Linked DNA regions of Cricetulus griseus. The main gene of each other region encodes a partner of the protein of the gene in region 6 in a complex. Links are inferred from orthologs where the notes say so. Each region holds a gene or a part of one and is shown on either strand. Other genes may lie near its edges. The genes, in order: Med31, Rarb, Rxra, Med26, Med25, Med1 and Med21.

The links.
Region 1: Med1 (region 6) and Med31 share a complex: the UniProt entries of both Homo sapiens proteins name them as parts of the mediator complex. The link is inferred for Cricetulus griseus from reciprocal best matches to the Homo sapiens genes MED1 and MED31.
Region 2: the proteins of Med1 (region 6) and Rarb are in contact, whole or in part, in a crystal structure (PDB 1XDK), measured with the Mus musculus proteins. The link is inferred for Cricetulus griseus from reciprocal best matches to the Homo sapiens genes MED1 and RARB. Residues at the interface, in NP_001073587.1 of Mus musculus: His642, Pro643, Met644, Leu645, Met646, Leu648, Leu649, Lys650, Asp651; in NP_001276689.1 of Mus musculus: Ile264, Val267, Lys271, Phe276, Ile281, Gln284, Ile285, Leu288, Lys289, Pro435, Leu436, Glu439, Met440.
Region 3: the proteins of Med1 (region 6) and Rxra are in contact, whole or in part, in a crystal structure (PDB 1XDK), measured with the Mus musculus proteins. The link is inferred for Cricetulus griseus from reciprocal best matches to the Homo sapiens genes MED1 and RXRA. Residues at the interface, in NP_001073587.1 of Mus musculus: Asn641, His642, Pro643, Met644, Leu645, Met646, Leu648, Leu649, Lys650, Asp651; in NP_035435.1 of Mus musculus: Phe282, Val285, Lys289, Phe294, Leu299, Gln302, Val303, Leu306, Arg307, Thr454, Phe455, Glu458, Met459, Glu461, Ala462, Pro463.
Region 4: Med1 (region 6) and Med26 share a complex: the UniProt entries of both Homo sapiens proteins name them as parts of the mediator complex. The link is inferred for Cricetulus griseus from reciprocal best matches to the Homo sapiens genes MED1 and MED26.
Region 5: Med1 (region 6) and Med25 share a complex: the UniProt entries of both Homo sapiens proteins name them as parts of the mediator complex. The link is inferred for Cricetulus griseus from reciprocal best matches to the Homo sapiens genes MED1 and MED25.
Region 7: Med1 (region 6) and Med21 share a complex: the UniProt entries of both Homo sapiens proteins name them as parts of the mediator complex. The link is inferred for Cricetulus griseus from reciprocal best matches to the Homo sapiens genes MED1 and MED21.

Annotation. Positions count from the first base shown.
Region 1 is NC_048600.1:86,054,521-86,058,894, forward strand, and holds the start of Med31 (mediator of RNA polymerase II transcription subunit 31), read right to left. Parts: upstream 2,813-4,374; 5' UTR 2,671-2,812; coding exon 2,643-2,670; intron 1,647-2,642; coding exon 1,569-1,646; intron 1,298-1,568; coding exon 1,201-1,297; intron 1-1,200. Other genes in the region: uncharacterized protein C17orf100 homolog, read left to right, coding at 3,031-3,432. UniProt on the Homo sapiens protein: Component of the Mediator complex, a coactivator involved in the regulated transcription of nearly all RNA polymerase II-dependent genes.
Region 2 is NW_023276807.1:173,891,918-173,896,240, reverse strand, and holds the end of Rarb (retinoic acid receptor beta), read left to right. Parts: intron 1-216; coding exon 217-375; intron 376-2,120; coding exon 2,121-2,317; 3' UTR 2,318-3,533; downstream 3,534-4,323. Other genes in the region: Top2b (DNA topoisomerase 2-beta), read right to left, coding at 3,907-4,074. UniProt on the Homo sapiens protein: Receptor for retinoic acid. Retinoic acid receptors bind as heterodimers to their target response elements in response to their ligands, all-trans or 9-cis retinoic acid, and regulate gene expression in various biological processes.
Region 3 is NC_048599.1:139,356,271-139,360,577, forward strand, and holds the start of Rxra (retinoic acid receptor RXR-alpha), read left to right. Parts: upstream 1-1,461; 5' UTR 1,462-1,542; coding exon 1,543-1,570; intron 1,571-4,307. UniProt on the Homo sapiens protein: Receptor for retinoic acid that acts as a transcription factor.
Region 4 is NW_023276806.1:247,288,385-247,292,663, reverse strand, and holds the start of Med26 (mediator of RNA polymerase II transcription subunit 26), read left to right. Parts: upstream 1-1,251; 5' UTR 1,252-1,296; coding exon 1,297-1,368; intron 1,369-4,279. UniProt on the Homo sapiens protein: Component of the Mediator complex, a coactivator involved in the regulated transcription of nearly all RNA polymerase II-dependent genes.
Region 5 is NC_048599.1:153,725,446-153,729,981, forward strand, and holds the start of Med25 (mediator of RNA polymerase II transcription subunit 25), read right to left. Parts: upstream 3,057-4,536; 5' UTR 2,988-3,056; coding exon 2,854-2,987; intron 2,775-2,853; coding exon 2,729-2,774; intron 2,617-2,728; coding exon 2,492-2,616; intron 1-2,491. UniProt on the Homo sapiens protein: Component of the Mediator complex, a coactivator involved in the regulated transcription of nearly all RNA polymerase II-dependent genes.
Region 6 is NC_048600.1:111,292,581-111,296,415, reverse strand, and holds part of Med1 (mediator of RNA polymerase II transcription subunit 1), read left to right. Parts: intron 1-2,118; coding exon 2,119-2,208; intron 2,209-3,688; coding exon 3,689-3,800; intron 3,801-3,835. UniProt on the Homo sapiens protein: Component of the Mediator complex, a coactivator involved in the regulated transcription of nearly all RNA polymerase II-dependent genes.
Region 7 is NC_048601.1:3,053,250-3,056,970, forward strand, and holds the end of Med21 (mediator of RNA polymerase II transcription subunit 21), read right to left. Parts: intron 3,569-3,721; coding exon 3,454-3,568; intron 2,119-3,453; coding exon 2,018-2,118; intron 1,248-2,017; coding exon 1,071-1,247; 3' UTR 787-1,070; downstream 1-786. UniProt on the Homo sapiens protein: Component of the Mediator complex, a coactivator involved in the regulated transcription of nearly all RNA polymerase II-dependent genes.

The DNA.
Region 1 (4,374 bases), about 25 Mb from region 6:
GTAAATCTGCTAGCACTGTTATAACAGCCTAATAACTTAAAAGTCTCTCCTTCAGATTCCTAAAGGAATCAATAATTGCATCATAAAGAGCAAATCCGGTGCAATCTGTTCTACAGGCAGTCCAGGATCAATTCAGAAAAGTGACTAGGATATAAAGAAAAGGCTTGAAATGTTTCCCTCTAATTTTTAAGATAGGGTCTATGTAGCCTTGACTGGCCTGAAACTTGCTACATAACTAAGCTGGCCTAAAACTCACCGGGATCTGCCGGATCTTCCTGAGAGCAGGGATTAAAGGGGCATCAGGCTAAAATTTCTGGGTTTGTTGTTGTTGTTGTTGTCCACCCTTTTAGGGGAGGGGGAGTTCAAGACAGGGTTTACCTGTGTAGCCCTAGCTGTCCTGGAAGTAGCTTTGTACACCAGGCTGGCCTTGAACTCAGAGATCTATCCACCTCCACCTCTACCTCTCAAATGCTGGGATTAAAGGTGTGTACCAGCTTGTTTTTCTTTTTTAATTAAGACAAAGCAGAGGGGTGAGTTCAAGGTTTTGTTTTACCATTCAAAGGGATAGCTGTGTAGTTGTGATGTTTCTCACAATTGTCTATCAAACAACTTGACAGTGTTCATGTTTGTCTTTCTTTTGTTTACAGTGAGTTAATGTGCACGATACATTTAGCACAGTACTTGACACATAGGAAACTATAAAGAAGACAGTAAGTCTAAGACTCCCAGAAAACACCACTTCTTATATGTTCATTTTCAGCTTATGGCTATACCACTACATTTTAGTAGTTTATAGGTTGGAAGGCATTAGAAACCCAGAGAGACAAGGGGAATGCTAAATGACAAGTTCAGACAGACCAAATCAAATCAGAGTCTTACTCTAAAACTAGTTACTGGATTTTATCCTACATGAATAGAAGTGGCATGTTCTGATTTATACTACTAAGACAGTAAATTGGTTTTGACAGACAACTGTTTGGCTTTGTTTGGTTTGAAGGGAGTGAGGTAAGAATGACAGCAGAAATAAGTGAGATTACTGTAACAATTCAAATTAGAAATGACAATGACATGACATGAACTAAAAGCAGAAAAATTCAAAACATAGTTTGCCATTCTGACACCGAGAAAACTGCTAAATATAAGCACTTCGTATTTATAATAAAGTATACACAGATTTAAGATTATAAAAATTAAACTTACTTTAGATACTTGGCATATTCTGGTTCTTTCCAGTAAAGCAAGTACTTAAGATAATTTACAAAAGCTTTGTCTTTGAAGTAACCTCTTTGGGCAAGAACTGAAAGGCATAAAGAAACAATCTGTATGTCAACCAACTGCTGGACTACTGACTTGTAATCGCTACAATAAAGTAGCTCTTTTAACATTCCTACCATCAAAACACAAGGAATTAAAAAACACAAGTCCTTGTTTGCTCAGTTAATAACTACAGACCATCGAAAGTAAAATCCCATTCAAACATACCGAAGTAAATACTATTATGAATTCCATCTCTTCTGTCAGAAATCATTAACAGCTAGCTACTCAACTTAATGATGTACTCGACTTACAATTAAGGTAATTTGGGTTGGCTAAACATTGCACAAATTCCAACTCCAACTGAAACCGAAGTCGATTTCCAGCATCATCTAGGAGAAAAAAGTAAAAGACACCCAAAATAAAAGTCACGATACCAATGATTTGTAGAAACAAAAACAAACTGCCAGTGAGACTGCTCAGCATGTAAAGGTGCTCACAGAAAAGTCTGATGACCTGAGCTCCATCCCTGGAACCCGCAGGGTTGCAGGAACAGTAGACTCCTGCAAGTTGTCCTCTGACCTCGGCATGCACCGCCCACCCCCATAGGAATGAATTTATGAAACAAATACCAAACTGCAGGAGAGATTTCCTTAGAAATCTCAGAGTGGAGCCTGGTTTAAAACAAAACAAGCCGAGTGGTGCATGCCTTTAATCCCAGTTCTTGTAAGGGGGAGGCAGGAGGATCTCTGTGAATTCCAGGCCAGCCTGGTATACATAGCCAGTTCCAGGCTAGGCAGTAGTACATAGTGAGACCCTGTCTTCAAAACAAAACAAAGATAATAAATTACCTAAAGTTAGTTGAGAAAAATAAACGAAACGGCTATTTAAGGCCACTATGGGAGGATGGTAACAGAGATCACTGGTTGGTCTGTAATAGCTGTGCCACCCCCAATGTTAGCGTTACAACCACAACTACTAACAGTGATTAAGTTAAACAAAAACAAAGTGCTAAATAAAAGCAGGAAGCAAGATGCAAAATGATTAAACAGCGGGGAGGAGACGGTAATCCGTATCAGAACCATACACGTTACAAACATTTCAAGCAAGTTCACGGGAAAAGCTCCATAGAGCAGACAATTGAAGGGCTCGGTCCTCTCCCTCAGTCCCACCCCGGCCCGCGAGCCAGGGAGTGGAGGTGTGAGCAGCCCAGGAGCAAAGATGTCGTTCACACAGGCCACAATCAGAGACAACACCGCCTTCTCCCCCACCGATCCCAACTCCTTAAGGATGCCGGGTTAAGCCCGAAAGACGGCGCGGGGAAACCGGAGAGAAGGGGGGAGGACCCGTTCCCTCGGTGAAGACTCCAGGAGCACGACACCACGAACCTGTCTCCATAGCGACGGCCGCGGCCATAACCAGAGAGGAGAGAGACGCGAACACAACCAGCCCGACCCAACCGCGGCTTCAAATGGTGAGGGAGGATCCGGAAGCCACGGCTCTTATTTCCGGTCGCGGGGCATGTGGGACGCGAGGGCGGAGACAGCCTCCTTCTGAGGAGAGAGGCCCCGCCTATCTGTGTGGTCTGGGCCGGCAGCCTGAGCAATTATCTAGCGGCGCGTGCTGGAAGAGCTCGTTGCTCGCAGATCCTATGTGGCCCGCAGCAGCCTACACTGACGTAGCTCATCACCCTGACGTCACCGTCCCTTGTGTGACGTGACACAGAGCATGAGTCTTGGGCCTCTGTGTCCCTTCTGACCTGGGTGTGCCAGCAGGATGGCCTCGCCCCTTAGGAGTAAATCCTTCGCCCCGCGAGTGGAAAGCACCCGCCAAAAGGAAACGTCGACTATCCGCGTGGAGACGTCGTCCCACCGCGAGGAAACGTCATCCCACCGCGTGGAGACGTCCTCCCGGCAGGTTCGAACGTCTTCTCGTCAGGTGGAGACCTCTCAGCGCCACCGAGAGGGACCCTCCCTGACCTCCTCCGCGAAGCGACTCCCTAGATTCCTCGAGGTATCCTCCCAGCACGTGGAAACCTCCTCGCAGTGCACGGAGACGTCCTCCAGCCACGTCAGGGCGTCGTCATCCCTGCGGGTGGAGACGACTGTGCACCGTGTAGAGAGCCCAGCCAGGAGGGACAAGCAAACAGCTCGCCAGAGTGCCAAAATGACCCGATGAAGTGGCCATGGCCCTTAGCCAGCACTGAAGTGTTTCCATTTGCCAGCCAGCCAGCTTCCAGGAGAGCCAAGCATCTTTGGTTTCATGGAAACAGCCTGTAAATCAATGTAAGAAACAGGCTGTGGTTTCTGGGTGCTGCCAACATGTATTGAGATTGCATCACCTTAGACCACCCTGCTGTTGACCCAGTGTACTATTTAACTCGAAGCCAGCACAGAAGGGCTTCAGACTTGCGGTGCGTATATACTCGGCTGATGATGGACAAAGAGGCTCTTTGAGTCTCTGCACCAGGTAAGTTTCGTAGCCTGAGGTCCCTCTAGAATGGTTTGACCACTTGAAATTTGCGAAGAAGGACCAAACTTGTCATGAATTCATGACCACTGGCTTGATTATATAGTGCTTGAAACCAATAGAACAAAGAATCATCTTTCATGGATTATTAATTGACCTTTATTTGTATTTCATAATAAGCTTTCCTATGTTAAGTTTTTATACACAGTACTCCACATACAGGCTTTTATTATTTTTTAAATAGGTCAGGGGGTGTTGGGGAAAAAAAGGCAAGTCAATTAATAAAAAATATGCTAAGAAGGGAAAGTGAAAAGAAAGCCATTGGCACCTGACCTGAAGGGTGAGGCTGACAGAGGATGGTTACTGAGTACCTACTGTGTGCTAGGTACTAGTCAGAGCATGTCAGCGATAACAGTGGAGAAGACTAAGATCTCCCTGTAGTGAAGAGGCAGAAACAAAGGGGAAAGCTAAGGTCTCTTGTGCTCATGTGAAGGAAAAGGTATCTGGTAGAGAACAGGGAAGTTTCTCTAGAGAATACCGTCAGGAAGAGCCTTGCTAATTGTGTGGGTGAACAGTGAGCCATACCAGGAACTGGAGGGGAGTGCGTTCTAGATAGGAGGAAAAGCCAGCATAAAAAGTTAGTGGGAACAA
Region 2 (4,323 bases), on a different chromosome or scaffold from region 6:
GGGAATTCTTGACTCTGAACCAGATCAAGTGGGCATCAAAATATGCTTAACGAAAGAACAACTATCACCGCTTAAAGCAATTGCATTTATTCAGGTTAGTGTGCGACTGAGTCACTAAATAAAGCCACTGTACAGGAGGAATGGGAAAGAAGGGGATGGGCAGTAGTCCTTCAGCCTTGGGTCACTAAAGAGTGAATACTTTCTCCTGCTATCCAGACCGCCAGGACCTTGAGGAACCAACAAAAGTAGACAAGCTCCAAGAACCACTGCTGGAAGCACTAAAGATTTACATTAGAAAACGTCGGCCCAGCAAGCCCCACATGTTTCCAAAGATCTTAATGAAAATCACAGATCTCCGCAGCATCAGCGCTAAAGGTATGTCTTCAAGGACAGAGGGGAGGGCAGAGCTTTGCCAGCTTTGCTTTTTAAAAGCCATGCTTTAATCTTAGGAGTCTCCTGACTGCCTAAGTTGGAACGTCTGCCCCACAGAAATCAAAAGGAGCTAAGAATCATCTGAGCACCCATATGTGCACACGGTTAAAGAGTTCCTCAGGGTTCTTTAAGAAGACTCTTGACATTGTCTCTGGCCTGAGATTAAGAGAAGCAGAAAGCAGATACCACTACCCCGTGATACTAAGAGATTATTCAGTTTTCAAATGGGATGGCTAGTTAGAAGAGCAACTCTTCTAGACAGTGTATTAACTTTTTAAATAATTATTGTTGGGGCTTGTATGCATGCCCTTGGAAGTTAAGAGACAATTATGTGGAGTTCCTTCTCTTTCCATCTCTACATTCATTCTAGGGTACCAAGTCAACTAGCTTGCACAGCCAGCTCTTCGCCCTCTAAGCCATTTTGCCATTTCTTCATAGTGTATTTAATTTTGAGTGTATGCATTTCATACTCAGATTTCTATTACACTTGTCCTGTTTTTCCTTTGCATCCTAATCCCTAGAAACAAATGAGTAAGACTTGGGGGTCACCGTGGCTGCAGCTCTGGTGTAGGCAAGTTAACTACTGTAATTCTGTGTAAAGGAATTCTTGCCTGGTTGAGAGATATAAATAGTCTCACCTCATGATTCTCACTCTATGTGGCAACTCAGGCAATTATACAAATGCCTAGAGCCATCTCACAGCTGAGTGCAGAGGGCTTTTCTATGTAGAGATGACTCAGCAACTATTCCTTGTGCCAGCTATGCTATTAACTGTCATTAGCAGACTCCATACCTGAGGATCTCGGCAAGCCATGACACACATGCTCCATTTCAGAAGGTCGTAAATGCACAAAGTGAACTTGTCCAGTGATAAATTCTAAGTTTATCCCAGCATGGGTTTAAGAGAAACAAAAAAAAGAGACCAATGCTTGAGTGGAGTAATTATGTATGTATGTATGTATGTATGTATGTATGTATGTATGTTTGTAAATAGGGCTGTTAACATCACTCTCCATAGATGCCACTGATCTGAGGACTAATAACCATGAATAGAAATCTCCCAAGTACCATATTAACAGAGTCCATAAAAACCCTAGCCACATGTTTCTGAAGCAGTTTTCCTGTTATTTATAACCAGCTGCATGAAGGGCTGTGGGATCTGTGATGGCATAGAAGCATCCTGTTCTGGACTGGATTGCAGAAAACCACTACACGTTGGGGACTCAAGTCCATCCTTCCATTGTGGAAACCACCCATCCCTTCACCTATATTTTCTGACCTTTCATCAGGAACTTCTCTTTGTAAATTTATGGAGTCTGACTGAAGCACTGCAACTATCTAATCTGCACATTACACATTTCTACAGCTTTTCCTTAAAGTGAAAATGAACCAAACTCAGCCAGCCTCTGGAGTACTGTTAGTACATATTCTGTATTCAAAGGGAGTGTTGGATCAGCCTCCACCTCAAAATCAATCTGATTGGGATCTCAAAGCACACCTGACACTGACATTCTGGTGGCCCACATTCCCACTGTAAATACCTTTATATTTTTACTTCTAATAAACAGGTTCTTTTCACAAAGACCTGTATTTCACAACCCTTTCACACACCCCTGAAGGTGAATGTTGGTTCCTTCATATCTATCCGACCACGTATCTAACAAGTTTTCTATTATCTTTCAAAAAAGGTGCAGAACGTGTAATTACCTTGAAAATGGAAATTCCTGGATCAATGCCACCTCTCATTCAGGAAATGCTGGAGAATTCTGAAGGACATGAACCCTTGACCCCAAGTTCAAGTGGGAACACAGCAGAGCACAGTCCCAGTGTCTCACCCAGCTCAGTGGAGAACAGTGGAGTCAGTCAGTCACCACTGCTGCAGTGAGACACTACCAGCTACTGCAGACATTCCCCAGGACCTTCAGTTCCGAAGTGAAAATGCAAGGAAAACATTTTTACTGCTGCTTAGTTTTTGGACTGAAATATGTTAAACTCCAAAAGGACCAAGAAGTTTTCATATGTATCAATATATATTCCTTACTGTGTAACTTGCCTAGAAATACAAACTTTTCAAATTCTGAAATTCAGCCATTTCATGCCACCAGAAACTAGTTAAGAGCTTCTATTTTCCTCTCTGAACAGTCAAGATGCATGGCAAAGACCCAGTTGAGATGATTTAGCCCTGGTTAAGTTTCTGAAGACTTTGTACATACAGAAGTATGGCTTTGTTCTTTCTATCCTGTACGTTGGTGCTTTCTTTTGTCTTGCAAACTCAATAACCAAGACACCAAGGTTATGGAGCAGACTACTGTACATCACTGTACATCTTGCTTTCATGAATAACAAGGCCTCATGGTAAGGAACCAGGACCTTTGTACAGTACAGGATAAGACTAAAGACGCTCTGGTTTAAGTAATGTGGAAGCTTCTCCTTGCTTTTTGATGCTCAAGCTGCATCCTTTCTTTTGTGTTGCCCAGATAGAATATACCACTTCACTGCACTAGCAGAAGAGAATTCTGTATCAGTGTAACTGCCAGTTCAGTTAATCAAATGTCATTTGTTCAATTGTTAATGTCACTTTAAATTAAAAGTGGTGTATTCCTTAATGACACAACTACCGAATGAAAAAAAGATGCATTTTTACAGTCATGATAGCCTCCAAGGCAAAAACACTGTCCAGTGTTAGTAAGTTTGTTTACCTGTTCACAAGCCATTGGAGAGATATCACAGGATAATCAGCAGGCTAGTCTGCCTGGACTCTAGTAGCCCAGTGTCCTTCCTGACTCACGCCTGATCCTGGGATTTCCCCCAGTCTTGATGCTTGAAGGTATAGGCAAGTGGCCTCTTCTGGCCTTGTTCAATCACTATGACGCAGAGTGACAGCTGTGGTAGAGTGGTTGACAGACTCAAGTGTCAGGTTCTGAGTTCTCATGTAAGCACTAGTGGAATTTTTTGTTTTTGATATATTAGCAAAAGTCTGTGATGTACTTTCACTGGCTCTGTTTGTACATTGAGATGGTTTAACAGTGCTTTCTATGTTCATATACTGTTTACCTTTTTCCATGGAGTCTCCTGGCAAAGAATAAATATATTTATTTTAATTGTGTGTGGGAACTTTTACTATGGTTTCACCTTCAGTAAAGAGTCTGAGAACACAGTTCCATTTTTAATGTTTAAATTTCATTTCAAAAAGCAGGTCTGTAGTCTGCAATCATGACAATTAAAATCTGTGCTAATGCACGGTAATCTATAACAATTCTACAAGCCAATCAGACAACACATGACATTTCAATGAGTAAAAAAGAGCATAAAACTGTATGTGTAAGAACAAAATGTTAAAAGGCCTACCACAATAATAAAAAACCATCAATTACATCATCACATTAAAATAAGCCAGATGTACAAAATTCTGAGACAGAAAAGACAAAGGACAACACAAGATATTTTTGAAAAATGTTCGTGCTCTTTGGGCACTTAATTAAACATTGCAAAATCAACATCTTCTTCTTCATCAGATTCTGCAAAATATTTTACTTCTTTCCTAGCCCGACCAGTCCGTGGCAGAGCAGGTGGTTCAGAAGTGAAGTCTGAGGGAAAGATGTCTACATCTGAATCCTGATCAAAAGATGTTTTCTTCGGTTTCTAGACCCCCCCCCAAAAAATACAAAAGATTAAAAATCCCGAAGTTAAGGAAAGCCTATGGTTAAGAACTAGTTATTCCTTATACTTACACTTATGGTGTATTGCCAATAATCAATCATACTTTAAAAATTAGAATTGGCATGCTAACTTAGGCCTAAAATGAATTATGGATGAAAGAAACAAGATTAAATATAGTAAGTAATTAGCAACTTTGGGCTCTTATGTTATCAAGTTATAGCCTCATCAATG
Region 3 (4,307 bases), on a different chromosome or scaffold from region 6:
TTCTAAGGGAACCGTCCAGGTGATGGGACAGGCCTGGGAAGAGGAGTTGGTTTGTAGACAGCCCAGGACATTTAGTGCCCCTATTTTGCTTTTTCTTCTCTCTTGCCCTGGAAGGACAGGTTCCCCAGACCCCACAGGGCTGGCCTTCCTCTGGGACAGTTCTATAGACCTTCTGGGATGCTTCGAAGAAAAAGTGCAGTTCTGGAGGGCGGCAGTAGCGCACCCAGGCAGGGCTTTCCTTTTTTGTCTGGAGAGGAGGTGCTTTCTTTGGGCAGCACCCACGATGTGCCTGTGGACTTTGGTAAGCCCCTCTGCCAGGGCCTCCACGCTGGATGTTGGTCTGGCAGGCACCAGCTGGGAGTGGAGGGAGGCGGGACTGCCGGTTGCCTGGCTTGGCTCAGGGACACAGTGCGCTTAGGGAGGCTGGCTTGGCTCTGCTCAGGTAGCTCACACCCAAATCCGAATTCCAGCCGCCCAAGACGGCGGGCGGGTTGCGGAGGAGGCCCAGGCTCTCTCTGGGTAGGAGTGCTTCCTTTCGTTTTAAAACAAACAAATCATGAATTTAAAAGTCAGGGCAGAGAGCTGCCCAAGGTATATAAATAGCCTGGGGCCACTGGGCGATGTCCGAAGCGGGCCGCAGCGCCTCTCGAACCCCGCACCTCAGAAGAGGGCTGGGGCCGTCGGGGTAACACCGGTACGCGGACGCCCCCCCCCCCCGCCCCGGGTCTGGCCTTCGGTCGGTCAGATACCATGGTTCTCTCTGGGCCTCCCGCGTGTAAGTGGGAGGGCACTGGGGCATCCCCCTGCCCAGCTGCTTGCCTCTGGCTCATCACCCCTCCCCGGCCTCAGTTTCCCCATGTGTCCCTTGGGGTGCACGGGGCCTCAGCTCTCCTTTAGGGAGCCCTGCCAGACCATGGTCCCCGAGCGACCACGGCTGGCCTCTTTGTGTGTCCGCGCAGACAATGGCCCGGCCGCTGAGCTCTCCTCTTGGCCCCGCTCTCCTCCTCCTCCACCACGGGCCGCGGGGATTTTGGGCAGCCGGGGAGGGAAGGCTGCTTCAGCCGGCCGCCCCGCCCTCCTCCCACGCCGCCGCCCCACGGCTCCCGGGAACCCCTGGCAGACGCAAACTTGCAAGTTTGCAGGACGCTCACAACTCGGGGCCGGGCGGCGAGCGCGGGGCGGCGGCGACAGCGGCGGGCGGGGCGCGCACCGGCTGCGGGCGGGGCGAGTGGCGGCGGCGGCGCTGCGCCGAGTCCGCGCCCGTCGCGGGCCCCCCGCCGCTCCCCCCCGCTGCAGGCCGGGCCGGAGCGGGTCGCGGCGCGCGGCGGAGGCGCGGGCGGCGGACACGCGCGCCGGGCGCGCGCAGGCACAAGTAGTTTACATTGTTGGGCGACTTTTGCAACAACTCGCCGCGCCGCGGCCTCCGCGCGCCGCCGCCGCCGCCGCTGCCCGCCGCCCCGCCGCCGGGCCGGGCCGGCCGGCCGGGGGCCGCTGCGCTGTCGCCCTGCTGCTCCGCCGCCAGCCGGGAAGTTAGTCGCAGACATGGACACCAAACATTTCCTGCCGCTCGGTGAGTGCCGGCCGCGGCGGCGCGGGCGAGGGAGGGGGCCGGGGCTGGCGGGGCGGGGGCGCGTGCGCAGCGCGCGTGGGGGGTCCGGCCAGGCCCGCTGGGCCCCGCGCTGTGGCGGTACCGAGAGTTGGCGCGCCGGGCCCGGGGAGGCGAGTGGGCACAGGGCAACTTTTCCCGGGCCCGGGCTCGCGGCGGGAGAGGGCGAGGGCACCGGGCCTCTGACTTGTCGGGGAGCGGGAGTGGGCGGCGGGGCTGGGGCGAGCGGCAGGTTCGCTCAAGACGTGGAGAGGGGTCCCTCACGGTGCGCGTAGCGCGTCCGCAGAACCCCGGGGCGCCCAGCCTCAGCCGCCCAGAATCCGGCCACGCCGGAGGAGCAACTTCTGCGCTTGCTGGAGGGCTCCGGGCCTCCTTGGCACTGGGATGGGGGCGACGCGCTGGGCTCCGGGAGGCCACTGCTCCTCCGGGCTCGTCGGGCTGCTGTTTGGAGCAGGCCGCTGGCCCCTGGGTGTCTGTTGGCCCAGACGGAGTCTGCGATCTTGCCGTTCCCCGACAGCAGCCCAAACCTAGGTGGGCATGGTCACCCAGGGGCCTCTGATGAGGAGCATCAAACCCAGAACTGGGGCCCCACGCTCTGGCACCCCTAGTTGTTCTCCCTGGTATTTAGGGGGGGAGAACAGCCCATAGGCAGAAGAGTCCGTTTTCTTGTCTTGCTGCCCTCCCGCCAGCAGCTCTCAGTGACCGTCAGCCTGCCAACTCCGGGAGTGGAACCCAGCAGGGTCGGAGCCCCCCAATCCATTGCTCTCGCAGGGATTTTGGGAGCCAGAGGGAAACAGTGTAGAGAGACTTTATAAATGAGCTCTGGGAAGGATATTAATTTGGTGGTGAGGACAGCAGCCAGGCTGTCAGGCTGATGAAGAATTTGTGCTGAATGGAAATCAGGACAGCTGATTATGGACGAAGCTCCATGATGATCAGTGCCTCTTTGCTTGGCCATCCCCTATGAAGCTTGGGGTGCAGTTTTGCTACCCCTAGGGGTGATCAGAACCCAGCATGGCTTCCAGGATTTTTGGTGATTTGGGGAGGTGGCACCCCCTTGGCCCCAGCCTTCTTACAGCTCCCAGACAGGTCTGCTGCAGAGTGACTTTGATAGAGTGTTCCAAGTTTGTCAAAGCTTCAGACACTTCGTCCTTATGAGCGGTGCTGAAGACCATGGGGGCTCAGCTGAGCTTGAGGGTCTGGCTCCCAGGGTGTAAACTCTGTCCATGTTGTAGTTGAGAAACTGGCTTGGAGAGGCCGCACTTAGAGACTGTAAATGGTGGATTTGGCGTTGGAGCCCCCTGCCAAAGTCCACTGACAAGAAAGCTGTATTACTGTGGCATGTTGCTGTGGGGCCTGATGTGGGGTTGGTGGGACCCCTGAGACACCTCTTTCTCCTCCACCCAAGCCTTTATGTGTTCAGAGCTGGGTCCTTAGGACAGGAATGCTTTGCTTAGTCTCTGGCCTGGATCATGGCTAGGGCCTGGCAATACTTTGCCTAGATCCAGGGATGGGAAACAACATGCCAGGAGGGACAGAGCCCATTCTAGAAGTTGACACATACAGTTGCAGGGTGACTGGGCTAGAGTCTTCAACAAGAGGAGTTGTGTCTTGGAGCTGTTGTCCCCCCACAAGGAGACCCAGAGTCTTGGGTTCACAGAGTGGTGGCTCTCAGGACCAGCTTGTGGCCTCCCAGGCAGCTTGTGCCCCAGGGCTGAGTGGTGAGTCCTGGGCTCTGAATACATTTTATTTTTTACTAAGCTTGTGACCAGCTCTGAAGTCCAGTGCAGTTGAAGGTCCATTTAAGCAGCTACTTGCCTAAGCCCTTTTGTCAACACAGCCTAATCCCTCCTGGGGGCTGAGTGTCAGAGGATCTGGCTCATCCAGGGTCCCCACTGACAACTTAGGTTTGACTTGAAGTGGCTGGGAAGATTTGGCCGTCCTTTTTTCACTACCCTGCCACTTTTGGGGTCTGAGACTGAGGGCTCTTCCCAGTGTGCACTGTGTGGGGTTTGGTGGTTCAGATAGCCTCTGAGCCTCTCTCCACTGAGTTGATCTGTATGGGACAGATCTGAGAAGAAAGGGAGGATGGGGAATTTGCCCCAGGCAGTCCCTGTTTCCTGGCTTTGCTGCCCAGGGCTGGAGTTGGGGAGTGGGGTAAGGGCTCAGCCTGGCCTCAGCTTGGATGGTGGGACTGTAAGGCTGAGCCTGCAGAGTCCAAAGGTCCCAAGCCTGCACTGACCCTCTCAGCTGTGTGGCTCATTTGTATGTGAGGGTAACAGGTTTCCAGAAGTGGGGCTCTAGGCCTCCAACCACCCTCTTGTGTGGTTCTTGGGGATCTAGTGAACTTGGGGCCTGTGTGAGGGGGCTTTTAGTAACATTGGAGCCCTTGTGACCCAAAATAGAGCACATTCCGGTCGTCCCGAAATAACAGGGTCACATGACTCTCAGGAGGCTGGGCTTGGAGTCCAGCTTGGGCCTGACGAGGCAGTTCACGGTTAGGCCCCCAGCTGCCTACTGATTTGGGCATTTGTTTTGGGAAACTCTGGAGGGGACTCTGTTGTTGACTGAGGAAGTGTTAGGGTGAGAAAAAGTGACCCCCTGTTGGTGGTCTGACTGTGGTAGTGGCCTTGTCTGCCTGTATTCTCTTTTGGGCTGGTACTGTGTTGTGCTGGGCACAAGCATTTGTCTCAGATGTGGG
Region 4 (4,279 bases), on a different chromosome or scaffold from region 6:
TCCCCCATCCCCCGATCCCGGCTAACCCTCAGAAGTATAACAAATTCAAAATTAACAGGGGTCGCCCAGCTCTCAGGAGCACATGTGGTTCCCATTACCTGTTTCCCTTCCGTTTCCAGTCTGGATCTTTAAGGTAACCTCGGAGCCCGCCGCCCGCCCGCCCGCCCTCCTCCCGTCATCTGCAGCGGAGCTCCGGGTCACCCAAAGACGGGGGGTCGGGAGCCCGACACTTAACATCTCGCTTCTCTTGGTGTGGCCTAAAACTCCAGGTGGTTCTGACGCTTGCTTTCCTGCTCGGTGGGGCGTTCCTGTTTTCCAGCACCTGAGATGCAAAGCCAACAGGAAGGGGCGGATGCCGGGCTGCAGCCCCGCCACCTCGGGCACGGCGGTCCCTCCGGCCGGCGACGCGAGCGGCGCTTCCTCCTGAGCGGGTCGCGCAGGCCCTGTCGGAGGCGGCGGTGCCCTTAGGTCCCCTCTGCGCGGGTCATACGGGGACACGCACTGCCCCGCAGACCCGCGCCTCCGGTTTCCACCGCGGCGGCGGCTGCGCAGAACTCTCCCGAGGTCCTCGCGGCGCGGGTCTCCTTGGCGTCGCTCCTGAGCCGGGTCCCAGCCCCCGGCTGCGGCCCTTCATCCGAGGGGAGGGTCCTCCTTCTCCGCACCCCCGAGGCAGCCCGGAGGAAGAGTCCAAGCTCCAAGACCCAGCGGGTGCGCTTCCGTTAGGAAGCTCCGCCCACCGGTTTTTCGGAGTGGGCGTGGCCTTTAGACAGCGTCCGTTGCCCCGCCCAACTGCCTCCCAACGGCTCTCTGGAACGGGCCATGGGGCGTGGCGACGCGACCTGATAAACGCGCGTGCGCGCGCATGCGCAGAGGCAACAGAAGCGGCTCACGAGCCGGCCCCTCCCAGAGCCAGAGTCTCCGCCCGCCCCCATCTCCCAACCTCCTCAGCGTGGCGCCGACGCTGCGTGCGGCGCGGGTTACCCAGAGTGCTCAGCGCGGGGGCAGCTCACTGGAGTTTGGTTCTCGAGGCGGCGGCGGCGACGGCGGCGGCGGCGGCTTCTCCGTCGGCTCCTCCTCCCCCCCTGCTCGCAGCAGCGGCGGCGGCCCGGGGCCCGAGCTCCGGTCCCCTCCGCTTCCCTCCGTCTTCCGCCATCTCCCCGAGCGCCCCGACCTCCTCCGGCGCCGCGGGGAACATGCGGCTCCGTTCCCGGAGGCTGGCGAGCGACTGACCCGCGTCCCCCCGCCCCAGCCCGCCCGCCCGCCGGCCCGGCCGCTCCCCCCCGCTTCGCCCAGGCAATGACAGCGGCTCCGGCGTCTCCGCAGCAGATGAGGGACCGGCTGCTGCAGGCCATCGACTCCCAGAGTAACGTAAGTGACTGCTTGGAGAACGGGGACCGAGGCCGCATGTGCCGGGACCCTCCCCCTCCGACGCGCCCCCGGCCTGGGGGCCTCTCCCGGCGGCGCCCTGCCCGCCACAGCCGTTGCCATCTCGGCCTCTCGTTCTCCCGGGTCCAGGGGCCGCGGGCAAGGCGGGCAGCCCGGCGACTCAGGGTACCTGAGGCCGAGGCTTCACGCGGCCTGGACTGAGGGATCGCTCGGAGCCGAAATCAGACCTGGTTCTCCTCGGTTGCCTCGGCCAGATTGTCCTTGGTGCTTTCCACCTTGCCTCCCTGTCTCTCTTCGACCCCGGGACTTGAGACCCCCCGGAAGGGTCTCCCTACGGGGGTCAAGGTGGGAAGCAACTAGTGTCCCCCGATGACTCTGGTAGCCCGCGTCTCCCTTCGGTCTTCTGGCTGAAATCGTCTTCTTGGGCTCGGAGAGAACCCTAGGCCCTCCTTGTCCCTAGTCTTGCTGCTTGGGATCCCTGGAGAGTTTCCCTTCTTTTCTGATACTGGACAGACCCCAGTTTAATCCCTCCAAGGGTCGCTACCTAGGAAAGACGACCCTGCAGAAGGTGGGATCCTTCCTGTCACCTTTCTTGGCCTAAATGTCCCATTGTGTGTCTGACAAGCCTGGGGTTTTGGTACTGAATTCCTGCTCATCACAGTCGATTGTTCTCTCGCCCCTATTCTGGTCTTCTTTCCATCTCTCTTGCCCCACCTGAGGGACTCGGCCTGGTGTTTGGTCTCTAGGCTGTCAAGAGTTAACTGTATGGGGTCACTTTATGTCACATTTCCCTCTGCTAAGCGTCCTATGAGCAGAGGGACACCCTTTCTTCCTGTGTGAGCATAGGCTAATCTCACCTGTTGTGTTTTTTCCAAAGGTTTGTTGGCAGTGTAGGGAGGGGGTGAGGGTCTTTGTTCCTGGAAGCAGCAGGGCCATGAGAAGATGCACAAGCATCCAGGTATGAAGTGTTTGCTGGGAGACCAGGAAGTGGCCTTTGAGATCACTTTTTAATATGCTCAGGATGGAAAGAAAAATCATCTTGGGCTTGGCCAGGTAACTGAGGTTTGAGCAGGGAGCTCTTTTGGTTCCCTTACTTGTGCTTGGCTTGTTACTCTTAGTAATGTGCCATATTCTGGTGTGTTCCAAGAAATTCACATTAGTTGTGCAGTCTTGGTAGAAATGGAGGTTTCCTGATCTCTGGAAGAATCTGCTTGCCAGATTCAAAGTAAATCTCTTCTTCCTGATCTTGAGGCCCTATTAAGATCACCTTGATACTGATTTAGCCAATATTTTAGACATTTTTGGTGGGTGGAGTAAGGACAGGCTAGATAAAATCTTCTAAAAAGTCTTTTTTTTTTAAATGTTTTTTAAAACAGTGACTGATATTACTGCAATTACATGATTGAGATATTAAAAGATACAAACAAGTGATGTGAAAAATGTAACCTCAGTGGCTTTTGCATGTTTTCTGAAGCTACAATGTACACAGTGGATTTTTTTTTTTTTTTTTTTTTTTTTTTTTTTTTTTGAGACACGGTTTCTCTACCTGTAGACCAGGCTGGCCTCAAACTCACAGAGATCCACCTGCCTCTGCCTCCCAAGTGCTGGGATTAAAGTTGTGCGACACCACTGCCAGCATCCACAGTGTAATTCTTAAGTCCTGTATGTTGACTCGTGAGAAATCACCAGGGATCCTGACTGCTGCCTGTGAGAGTGCTGGGATCAGCTAGTGCTTTGATAGGCAGTAATGATGCTTCGCTTCAGGTGGGGCAGCCTTGCGGGTAAGGCTCTGACTAAAGGATTCTTTTGGGGGTAAAAGAAGGAAGATAGAGGACTCAAATTTTAGTGTGTGAGTGTGTGTGTGTGTGTGTGTGTGTGTGTGTGTGTGTGTGTGTGTGTATTAAGACAGAGCCTCTGGAACATACTATGTCCTTTGCCTTCCGAGTATTGGGATTAAAGGCGTGGGCCACAGTGCCTGGTCCCCAAACCTTTGCTTTTTGAATCTTACCTTGGGCCTAAGTGTTAATATACTCCTTCACCTGTGGGTAAGTTACTTGGAGTGGAGTGTGTATCTCAAAGGGCTATAGGGATAAGTGACCTCATTGTGATGGCTAGAGTTGAGAACTTGTCTCTTAATGAGGAGGGAAGTTTTTCTCTAAATGCAGTGTATCAGTAACTATTCATGAACACTGTCATGTGCTGGCTTTGCAGGACCTCTTTGTAGAACTCAGCCTGGAGGACTGTCCTTGATTTCTTCCAGAGGCATTGAAGGGTACTTTTTCTGGATTGTTCAGGGCCCAAGTAAGAGCTGTGTGCTGGCACAGGGCTCTGCTCTGCCCAGTTATGAGCTCTACCACTTGGTAATTGACACATATTTAAGATGTTCATGGAAAAAAATACAAAATGGGGACACAGTTGAAGAGCTTACACTAAAATTAACCCTCTTGAGAGAAAGTGACAGAGATTGGTGTCATGTAATGCTTACCTTTATGAGTGCAATCATAGCTAACAAATTTAGCTGTTGCTTGGAAAGTCAGTGCCAGGCAGCTGACCTACTGTCCACAGTCTCTGAAATTGGGAGCAGCTCCTTGACCAAGGAGGTCTCTAGAGGAAGGCCAGCTCTGCTGTGTGTTCTAGCTTCTGAGCAGCAAGCACTGTCCTTTCTGCCAGGCCTGTACTTCAGGAAGTCCCCCCTCCCTTCCAAAAGGCCGCTAATGGACTTCCAGAATTGTGGAAGTTTCAGTCACCTCTGTGTGTGTTAGTTCAGGGAGTCAACAGTCTCTAATGTATACTGCACATCTGCTTGTAGTCTTGTGTTATGAATAAAGGTGAGGGGTATGATTTATTCTTTCAAAGACATCATAGTGAGTCCCTCTTTGGCCAGTGACAGGGT
Region 5 (4,536 bases), on a different chromosome or scaffold from region 6:
CTGCGCCCCGTGCGTGCCCAAGGACAAGGCCATTAAGAAATTCATCACTGGGCTGGAGAGATGGCTCAGTGGTTAAGAGCACTGACTGCTCTTCCAGAGGACCTGAGTTCAATTCCCAGCACCCACATGGCAGCTCACAACTGTCTGTAATTCCAGTTCCAGGGGACCCAACACCCATGGCAAAACACCAATGCACATAAAATAAAAATAAATAAATTAAAAAAAAAAAGTTCGTCATTCAGAACATTGTAGAGGCCGTTGCTGTCAGGGACATATCCGAAGTAAGTGTCTTCAATGCTTATGTGCTTCCCAAATGTCAGGCTACATTCCTGTGTGAGCTGTGCTAGTCATAGTAAGGTAGTCAGGAATCCATCTCGTGAAGCCCGGAAGGACCAAACACCCCCACCACACCTGCTGGTGCTGCACCACGACCGCCACCAAAGCCCATGTAAAGAGGTGGCTTCATGAAGACAGAAGGAAAAACACCTTGGAAAAATAAAATGGGACTTATAATTTAAAAAAAAAGGAAGAAAAGAAAAAGAACTCAGCCAGGTGGCAGTGGCACACACCTTTAATCTCAGCACTCAGAGGCTCCAAAACTACACAGGGAAACCCTGTCTTAAAAAAAATCAAAAATCAAAACAAAATAAACAAACAAGCCCAGAGCAAGGCTGTGTCCTAATTGTACTGTGCACCTTGTCTCCAAGCACCATCATCAACAGCAGAAGGAGAGTGTTCTCAAGCAGGGACAAGTCCTGCTGACTCTCATTTCCATTCCAGTCCTGCCCAGAGCATCCTGGACATGGGTCACGGCCCTTGGTCAGAACAGTGACCCTGGGAGAGTAAAACAATGCTGAACTACCTAACAGTAGCAGAGGCCTCCAAACTGGGGACACTTGTAGCTACAGGATTTTAAGTGTACAAGTGGGGAACACAGTGCAGTCCAGACAGTATCTCCCTTTTATCTTCAAGTACCCATAGTCAGCCTTTTTCCTAAGGGAGGGCCACTCTTCCTGCAGTCTGCACCAGGAAGGTCCGGTGTCTTTGAGGAGCTTTCAAGCAGCCATCACTCATTGTTTACACAGATTTCTCCTTAAGCCTTGTAGGAGCAAAACCCTACTTGGAAGCAGTCTAGAGGAGGAACAGCAGGTACTGGACTTCCACTGAGGTCCAGAAGCAGAGGCAGTGACAGGTAGCAGAGGACAATTGGCTCATAAGAAAAGTCACACAAGTTCCCTGCACAGAAATGGACACAGGAGACTTAACAGCCAATCAGGAGTTCAATAGAACTGAGTTGGCTGGCACTGGCCCTCAGACTCACGCCTAACCAAATGTGAGAGAGGCCTCACATACACCAACCCTGACATGCAGCAGTGTGGACCTTGGGGCTTCACAGAACTCCAGATGGTTGTTACTCAAGTCTCACTTCAATCTAGCCCAGCAGTTCTTAACTAAGGTGCCATCTGCCCTCTAGCTGGCCTCAAACTCACTGAGATCCACCAGCCTCTGACTTCTGAGTGCTGGGAAGAAAGGCGTGCACTACTGCAGCCTGGCAATATAAATAAAAATCTTAAAGAACACTGGCTGCAGCCAGGCGTTGGTGGCACACGCCTTTAACCCCAGCACTCAGGATGCAGAGGCAGGTGGCTCTCTGTGAATTCAAGGCCAGCCTGGTCTCCAGAGCGAGTGCCAGGATAGGCTCCAAAGCCACACAGAGAAACCCAGTCTCGAAAAACCAAAAAAAAAAAAAAAGAAAGAAACCACACTGGCTGCTCCTCCAGAGGGCCCAGGTTGTATTCCCAGCACCAAAATGGCAGCTCACACTGTTTAACTCCAGTTCCAAAGGATCTGATACCCTCTTTTGGCCTCCAAGGGCACCAGACACACAAGAGGTAAACAGGCATGCATGGATGCAAAACACTTGCACAAGTTAAACAAAAATAAACCAGTCTTCTTAACAAAACTTGAGTGCTAAGTGTCAACAATGGCTAGCATGGGAAGCCATGCTTTACATAAATTCCCAGTCCAGACAATCTCCAAGTGGAGTGCATGCACACACACACACACACACACACACACACACAACACACACAAAAAAAAAAAAAAAAAAAAAAAAAAAACCGGAACACAGCAGGCATTCAAAGCACACCTGCTTCACCAAGTCAGGACGGTTAAGAACCGGTTGGGACTAGATCAGCACTGTCAAATGACCCTTGACCACAACTAGATTGTGGATTCCACATGAAAAGATTAGCTTCAGAGACCCTTCCTGCACCCAGCAGTCTACACTGCTACTCATTTGCAAACCAAGCACAAGAACAGGGCAAGCAGTAATTGCAGACACTCACACCCTAGCAGGCTGTGGTGGTCTGTACCCAGGGATCCCACTGCCTGGGTAGCCCATTCTTGCTTGGAACAAGACAGACTCGCACAGACCCACGCTGAGTTCTGCTGGGGTCCCCAATCTGCCCAAAATGAAGGAAAAGCTCACTTGATGCCATTGAGCCAAGTGACAAACTCATAGGCGCTGCTGGTAGGAGCATGACATTGTACGTAGGACTCTGGGGCGCAGTCCACTGTGTTGAACACCACAAGGCTGTACTGGGTTCCACCATACTGAGAGGACAGGACAAAAGAACTTTAAAACGGAGGTCTTTGGAACAGGGCCTCCCAACCTCAGACCAGGTCCACACCCAGCCTCCTCCCCGTGCCGCGGCCACAGACTCACGTCTCCACCGAAGTCCGTCTCTGCGGGTGGTCCCCCGTTGAAGTACCTGCGAAGACAGGAGGAAATGCAGCGTCCGTGCGAGCCGCAGGTCAGGGCGGAGGGAGACGACGAGGGCCCTCACTCACTCTATGGCGGGCAGAAGGTAGTGGTCGCGGAGCTCATCGAAGTACGGCCCCAGGTTTGCTGTTCCCTCGATCACAAACACCACGTCGGCCACCAGGCCCCCGGCCCGAGCCGGGCCCTCGGATCCGGGGACCATGCCCCGCGCCGCCGCCGCCAGCGCCGCAGCTGCCGTTGCGGTCCCGGGACGAACAGAAGTGCGCCTGCGTGATGCGCTCACCCGCGCCGGACGTCTGGCAACCTCCGCTGAAGCTAACGCGGCCATGTTTGTGCGGGGCATCCGGGGAGTGGTGGTTTTATCTCTACCCTGGCGATTCCCACACCAGGAAATTATCAGAACGGGCACCACAAACCCCTCTGGGGGACTCTTGAGAACTAACAAACTTTTGTCCACAACATCAAGCACGAAATAAATCGGAAAACGGCATATCCGGTCACCATCTTGGAGTCGGCCTCCAGTTTCCGACTCGGAGCTGAAGGGGGAAGTTTGTGGAGCCAGGTTGCTAGGCAACGCGTACCCAGCCGTTGTGTTCTCACACGGAGATTAAGTTAATAAATTCTAGTCTTTCTCACAGGGAACAGATGGGAGAGAGCGGTCCAATCACATCTTCGGAAACGGCGTTGCCAGGCAACACTGTAACGTTGCAGACGACTTGGAAACCAGGGCAGTTGTTTTCGCTCAGAAAGAAGCGAATTCCAACTTAAGTGGAGGTTGCTAAGCAACACCTGATCCCTGTTTTCTGAGAAAGAAGCCAGTAACTGGTTCAAAGCAAATACATTCCTAATAAACAGATAAACAAATAAATAAATAAATGAGTCACTCGGCATTGCAGCCAACGTCATGAATATAAAATGACCTGGAAAATTACTGTAACATGTGTGGACAGAGGGGTGCTGGAGCCTTGAATCCTTGAATCCCAGCACAGTGGACACAAGCAGATCTCTGAGTTTGAGGCCAGCCAAGTCTACAGCGAGTATCAGGACAGACATGGCTGTACAGAGAAAACTTGTCTCAAAAAAGGAAAACAGAGAAAAGATTAGGAAAAGAGCTGAACCAGGCGTCGGTGGCACACGTCTTTAATCCCAGCGCTCAGGAGGCAGAGAGAGGCGGATCTCTGAGTTCCAGGCCAGCCTGATCTACAGAGTGAGCTCCAGAATAGCAGAATAGTCAAGGCTCCGCAGAGAAACTCCTCCGTTTTGAAAAAACAAAACAAGCAAACAACAACAAAAAAAGAGAAAGATACAAACACATTTTAAAATGTGAGTGTTGGGAAATCTGAACTTCGGTTCTCATGCTTGCGTTGTATCATTTTCCCAGCTCCTGGTTTTTGATGGAGTTTTGTTTGTTTTTTATTTTTATTTTTTTGTTTTGTTTTCTTCACCCCACTCCACCCCCGAAACAGAGTTTCTCTGTGGATGTTGTCACAATCAGCTTTTTGTTTTTTAAGGTTTATTTTTGCTTTATGTACATGAATATCTCTCTGCATGTACTTAAATGCCACATGCTTGTAGTACTCATGGAGATCAGAAGATAGAATTAAGAGTTAAAGGAGACTGTGAGCTGTCATGTGGGTGCTGAATACTGAACTTAGTTCCTTTAAAAGCGCAAACAGAAAGTGCTCTTAACAACTAAAACATTTCTCCATGGGCTGGAGAGATGTCTCAGAGGTTAAGAGCACTGGCTGCTC
Region 6 (3,835 bases):
AGTTTCTCAAGAAACCTGGACCTAGGCTAGCAGCCAGTAGTCAGCACCAGTGCTTGGATTATATGTGTGCACGTTGTCATGCTTGGCTTTTTACACGAGTGCTGAGATCCCAACTCGGGTGCACATGCTAGGCAACAGGCACTCTTACCCACTGAGCCATTTCCAGCACCCTTACTACCCTTTTATTGTTCTTTTGCAGTGATGGGAATGAAAACCAAGCTTTGTGCATGCTAGGCCAGGTATTCCACTCAGCCCCAAGGAGATATTTTAATTTTGCTTTGAGCTTGTGAAGACATAAGCTAAAGGAGACAATGACCAGTAATTTGAAATAACTTCTAAGATGTTAATACTTGCTGTCTCCCTTTTTTTGTGTGAAATATGTTGTTGTTCCTGAATCAGTAATCTTTTATTATATTCCATGAGAAACATGACTTTTCACATCTTTGCAACTCTGGTATTTTATTACATGAACTTTCTCTTTTTCTCGTGTGTGCATGCATGTTCTATTAAGAATGTGGAGGTCAGAGGACAATTAATGGGAGTGTCCTTCCACTATGTAGGTCTCTGGGAACTCAGGTAGTCAGACTTTATGCAAATGTCTTTACCTGCTGAGCTATTTCACTGACCTTATATACACTTATAGAAATGTGGTTTTTGTCTTTTTTTGAGACAGGGTTTCTTTCTGTAGCCTTGTCTATGCTGAAAATTGCTCTGTATACCAGGCTGGCCTAGAATTTACAAAGATCTGTCTGTCTCTGCCTCTTGTGCTGGGATTAAAGGTGTACATCACCAAGCCTGGCAATCTTTTTTTTTTTTTTTTTTTTTTAATAAAGACAAGGTCTCTTGTCTCTTGTAGTTGAGGCTGGTCTTGATCTTATTATGTGCATGTGGTCTTGAACTTCTGATTCTCTTGCTTCCTAGAGTATTTATCATTCTGCCTTTTTTGGGGCGAGGGAAGTTTAGAGACAGGGTTTCTCTGTGTATTTCTGTAGTCCAGGCTAGCCACCTGTCTCTGCTTCTGCTTCCCAAGTTTTCGGATTAAAGGCATTTACCTTTGTTTGTTTTTGTTTGTTTGTTTGTTTATGCAAATGGGTATTATGCTTGTACTATGCATGACATGCTCATAGAGGCCAGAAGAGGAGTTGAATTCCCCTGGAACTCAATTACAGATGGTTGTGAGCCCACTATATGGATGCTGCAAGTTGAACCTTGGGAGAATAGCTAGGGGTCCTGACTGTTGAGGCATCTTTCCATAGATTGAGTTGTATGCCGTGCTGGGACTCAAACCTTTGGGTGTGCTAGGCAAATTATCAACAGCACTACATTTTTTTTTTAATTTTTTAGATTTTTATTTATTTATTATGTATACAGTCTTCTGCCTGCATGCCAGCAGAGGGTACCAGATCTCATTCAAGGTGGTTTGTAATCCACCATGTGGTTGCCGGGAATTGAACTCAGGACCCTCTGGAAGAGCAGTCAGTGTTCTTAACCTATGAGCCATCTCTCCAGCCCCGATTTTTTTTTTAGGTTGAATCAGGATCTCACTATCTTCCAAGTGGATCTTTTTTTTTTTTTTTTTAGATTAATTTTTATGTATACAGTGTTCTGTCTGCATGTATGTCAAACACCAGAAGAGCCAGATGTCATTGTAGATGGTTGTGAGCCACCATGTGGTTGCTGGGAATTGAACTCAGGTCCTCTGGAAGAGCAGGCAGTGTTCTTAAGCTCTGAGCCATCTCTCCAGCCCCCCAAGTGGATCTTGAACTCACTATATGTCATAGTCTGGCATTGAATTTTTTGTATTCCTCCTATACCCTAGGCTAATGTGAGCCACCACAGTCAGCATTTGTGTGTATATAGATGTTTTAGTAGAAGTAATAAGGATTTCATTGAACTCAGGGCCCTTCATATTATAGGTAAGCACTCTATCACTGAGCTATCCCCAGATTTTTCTTGTTAGTTTGAGATCAGATTTCATATAGCCAAGACTCCTTAGCTTCTTGTTTTCTCTTCCAAGTGCCTAGATTATAGGTGAGCACCACCACAACTGTTAATGAATGCTTTTTTAAATGTATAATTTATTAATAAAAGTGCCTTAATGAGTTTAATTTATGATAGGTCATTTAATGAACATAAAATACTATGCATCTCCTTCTGACCTGCTGGATGATAAGACTGCATCTCCTATCATTTTGCATGAAAAGAATGGTAAGTGTTTGTTTTTTTTTTTTGTACTTTGATACAGATCTCTTTATGTAACCTAGGCTGACCTGGAACTACCTATGTAATACAGGCTAGCTCTCAAATGTATTGTATAGTGATCATACATACCACTTCAGCCTTCCGAGAACTGAGGTCATACATATAAACTACCATACACAAGACAGGGTGACCTCTACCTCTTCAGTGTTGTGATTATAGGCATACACCACCACGCTCAGATTTCTCCATTGTGTTAAAAATATTTGTTTCTCTGTATTGCTTTGGAGCCTGTCCTGGAACTTGCTCTGTAGACCAGGCTGGCTTTGAACTCACAGAGATCCTGCCTGCACTACCAAAGCCTGGCTTAATTTGGTATTCCTTAATAAATATGTTATCCTTTTAATATGTTCCAGATACAACACATACATATATCATATGCACCTCACATATATACATGTATATTATATACTTAAGTCTTTAAACATATGCAAGTAGCTCAATGCATAAATGAGTTAGTGATGAAATATAAATAACCACTTAAAATAACCAGCTTTCCTTAATACTTTAAAAGAGAAAGCCGTGTTTGTGACATGCTCCATGCCAGCATGGACCAGGCAGAAGAACCTGATTTGAAGGCCAGCCTAAGCTATGGAATGCTTAAACAAACAAACAAACAAATAAATGTGACCATTTGGTTTTGGTATTTTGAGGCAGGATGTCATGTAGTCACAACTGGGAGGGGCAGGGGGTCAACTTGCCTCAGACTTGTTATTTAACTGATGATGAAACTGGAACTTTGGTTCCTCTTGGCTCCTGGATTTACACCACCACCACACCTGGCTTGTGTTTGGACTAATATAGCAAAGGAGCAGAAGAAATAGCCCCCTAATTTATTTGACCCCATTATAACTTCAGTGATAGACTATCCTGTAATTATAAGCCCATTTAAATACATTGTGAAGTTGTGAATGAATATAAGCATTGATAATGAGCTCTTGAAAATCCCCCCACCTTCTCCAGGGCTATAGGAATTTAATCATTAGCAGAAAGAAATATTGATTGGCTATGGAAAGGTAGCTTGTAGTATTTTTATTTTATTATTATTATTATTATTATTATTATTATTATTATTATTATTTTTGGTTTTTTCGAGACAGGGTTTCTCTGCGGCTTTGGAGCCTGTCCTGGAACTTGCATTTAGTTGTTTTGTTTCTTTTGGCCTCATTCACTGTGTAGCCCCTAATGATGTCTGCCTTTTTTTTCCTTCTTGTTACTTACTGTACTTTGTTCTACTTTTGAGAGTTGGTCCAATCTTGTAGTTCAGGCAGGCCTCTAACTCATCATTTTTCCTCCCTTGTTCTCCAGAATGCTGGGTTCACAGACTCAGGACCCTCATTCCTATCTGTTGTTTTGTTTCTTTTAGCGGTGTGATCCTTGTGATCTATGTTATGAGGAAGAAAATATTTTTTTCTTTTGTTTTTCCCAGTTCCTCGATCTTTGGGCATGAATGCATCAGTGACAATTGAAGGAACCTCTGCTATGTACAAACTCCCAATTGCCCCATTAATTATGGGGTCACATCCAGTTGACAACAAATGGTAAGTTAAATATGAATTTAAAGTAGTGAAGTCCA
Region 7 (3,721 bases), on a different chromosome or scaffold from region 6:
TATATTATTTATGATTTATTGAAGCTTGCCTGAGGAGACAGAAAGCAAAGTCAGCCACAAGCCATAGAACCAGAAAGGGGTGGCACGCCCTTTAATCCCAGGACTCAGGAGACAGGCAGATGGATCTCTGTTTGCTCAAGGCCACACTGAGATACATGAATTTGACCCAGTCCTAAAGAGGTACAGCTCACACAAAGGTGATCTCACCACTTGGGATCACATACCTTAAATCCCAGCACTGAGGAGGTACAAAAGGAAAAAGCAAAGGGCCTCATCTGGAGATTTATTCTCTATCCTCAGTGAGGAGAGGCGGCAGTCTGAGGCTTGGTGGGGAGCTCGAGGATCAGCCCTTTCACCTGAGGTAGAGGTGAGAGCTAGTGGCCGGCTACTTTCTCTGATCTTCAGCTTGAACCCCAATATCAGTCTCTGGGTTTTTATTAATTGTGTTACACTAGAATGTGTGACACTCTGAAGAAGAAAGCTTTCAGGTGACTGTCTATTTCCTATCTGCTCTAATAGTTTCTTAAAAAGACTTTCAGAAACTTTTGCTCAAAGATATAAACTTACATGGTGCCATCTTTAAGGAGGGGGACACTATCTAAATTGAAATGTCCCATATCATGGCCTTTAAGGCTATGCTGACCTGTGGATGGGCTGCAATCATACAATGTCTGTCAGAACCGGGGAATATGGCCTAGTGACAAAGTGCTTACCTAGCATACACAAGGCCTGGATTCCATTCTGTACTGCACAAAACAAGAAAAACAACACATGCAAAACATCAGAGAGCTGTATTGTATAGCTTTTTAATTATAGCATGAACATTAGTACAGTATCTACCTTGAAAATTCTAGTCAGATAGATAAAAAAATGACATGATGTTTGAGGATGACTCAATTGCAATCGCAATCTTAAAGCTTTTTAATATCGAGAGTGAAAACTAGTAAAAAAGGAAACAGTCACAGCGTATGATGCCCCCCAGCTGTTGGAGGGACTTAAGCCCATATCTGAGGCGGTATTCTTAGTGCCCTTCAAACAGTTATTTTCTCAGTCACCTGTTTCTGTTGTTGCTAGGAATCTGGAAGCGACTGGCTACGGGTGACACTTCTGGTCTTCAGTTGTGACTGTGCAATGTCGGCAAGCGCACTTTGGATCTTTTCCAGAAGCATGTCTCCCCGATAAACAACATCCTCCAGACATGTAGCAGCTTCATGATTTTCTTCTTCTAGCTTATATAAGCTAGCAGCCTTCATAAGACATGAATTTTAATATGCTCAGAGATGAAATGCAGAGAAACTAAAGTACAAGTATTTATTTTAAAATCAGAATGGTTTTCCAATCATTTTTTTATCTTTAGTAACAGATAATTCTAAATACCTATTTAATTTTTCTCTATGACTTATTAGAAGACTAATTTTCTTTCTTTCTTTTTTTTTAAAAAGATGCATGTATTCATTATGTATACAGTGTTCTGCCTGCATGTATCCCTGCAGGTCAGAAGAGGGCACCAGATCTCATTACAGATTGTGTGAGCCACCATGTGGTTGCTAGGAATTGAACTCAGGACCTCTGGAAGAACAGTCAGTGCTCTTAACCTCTGAGCCATCTCTCCAGCCCTGAAGACTAATTTTCAATCAGAATATATAGGTGTTTGCTTGTACATTGCTTGTAGACGTTACTTTGCTCCACTTTCAGTAAGGGCATTAGGAGACTTCTGCCTAAGATTAAATTGCTCAGTGTCAATACTGCCTCGAATACACATGATCTGATCTTTTAGGTCAAAACTGGACAACTATTCAGCACAATCTTCAGAGGCTGTTTTAGTTCACAATTATAGAGTGTTTGCCTGCTATGTGAGACCCTAGATTTGACCACAAAACAAGCAAAAAACCAACCACAATCAAACAAAACCCAAAATACCTTCCAATTAAACTTTAGTCCTAATTTGAATGCCATACCTCCTTTAATTCAAAGTTCTCTATCACTACTACTTTTATGAAAAGAAAGGAGTTTTCACCTGTAAAGCAGCTGTCGACTCTTCGCTGGGTAAGGAATCTATCAAAACATCAATATCTTTCGCTGTTCGTGCAATCAGTGCTGCAAAAAGCTGGGCATACTCTGAAAAAAAAAAAAAAACAACATTAAGTTAAATTAGCAAAACCTTACATTTTCACAAGCACAAATTATAAATTAATAAAACTAGAAAAGTTCAGCTTTCTAATATAATCCTAATGGTGAAAGTATAATTTTAGTATATCAGTACTATTTATACCCTTAACATTAATTCAAACTGGGAATTAGCATAGAATGTCATTTTATATACTAGGACAACATTTTGGTACCTTGAGCAAATGAACCCATAAATGAGATCCTTTTTTTTACTAAGGTCATACAAGCAAAACTCAGTTCAATCTATACAGTTTATAATTAATATAAGCCTCAATGTGTTTATTTGGGACTAAAGGGCTGGGGGACCAGGTGAAACAGAAATTCAGTCTTCATAAGCTCTCCTCTAAGGGAGTAACAATCTTTTATTGAAGTGAATAGAATCATGAGGCACATGAATTGAGCTGATAAACTCATTCCTTGACCAATGAGATAGCTTTGCAGATAAGGGCATGTAGTTGCATGTTTTCTGTCTCACCCGCCAGTTTATAATTGTTTGGCTGATAACTCAGACTTCTTACTGGCCTTTCTTTCCTTTCTTTTCCTTCCTTCCTTCCTTCCTTTTCTTTCTTTCTTTCTTGAGACTGGGTTTCTCTGTATTGCTTTGAAGGCTATCCTGGAACTGGCTCTGTAGACCAGGTTGGCTTTGAACTCATAGAGATGTACCTGCCTCTGCCTCCCCAGTGCTAGGATTAAAGGCGTGTGCTACCAATGCCAGGCTTTTTACATATAAATTAACCCATTTTTACTAATCTATGTATCATTTAAGATTTATTTACTTATTATGTATACAGTGTTCTGGCATGCCTCATTACAAATGGTTATGAGCCATCATGTGATTGCTGGGAATTGAACTCAGGACCACTGGAAGAGCAGCCAGTACTCCTAACCTCTGAGCCATCTCTCCGGCCCCCTCTCTCTGCATCTTTGTTTGGATTTCCCACCTAGTTATATTCTGCCTGGTCACTGGCCAAAACAGCTTTATTCATCAACCAAAAAAAGCAACACTTATTCATAGCATACAGAAGGACCTCCCACATTGCTACCAAGTCTAAGGACCACAGTGTGATCCCCAGAATCCACATGGTGAAAGGAGAGAACAGGTCTGGAACCTATGACCTCTTATAAGCATACTATAGCAGGCCTGCCCACATACACACCAAGTAAATAAATGCTAAAAAATCATTTATGGAAAAACATAGAGCAATGCACTTCAACCACAGTCACAGTTTTACAAAGGAGCTATAAATTGTAGAAGGAATGTTAGTCAAACTAAGGAGACCTCACCTTCTGTGGGATTGGCGGGTTGGTCTTTATTAATTGCTGTTTGAATGTTACTAAAAGAGGCAGGAGGACCACATTGCTGTAATACTCCAATGGCGTTACAAAACTGATCTGCAAGCTTGAAAAAAAAAAGAAAAAAAATCAAGGTTACAAAAAGAGTTGTCAATTTTATGGATTTTATGAGATATGGCAACAATTTCTTCATAATAATGATCTCTAAGCAAACTCACAGAAAGGAATATTTTTAGATAAAATGAGCCAGTTATTACAA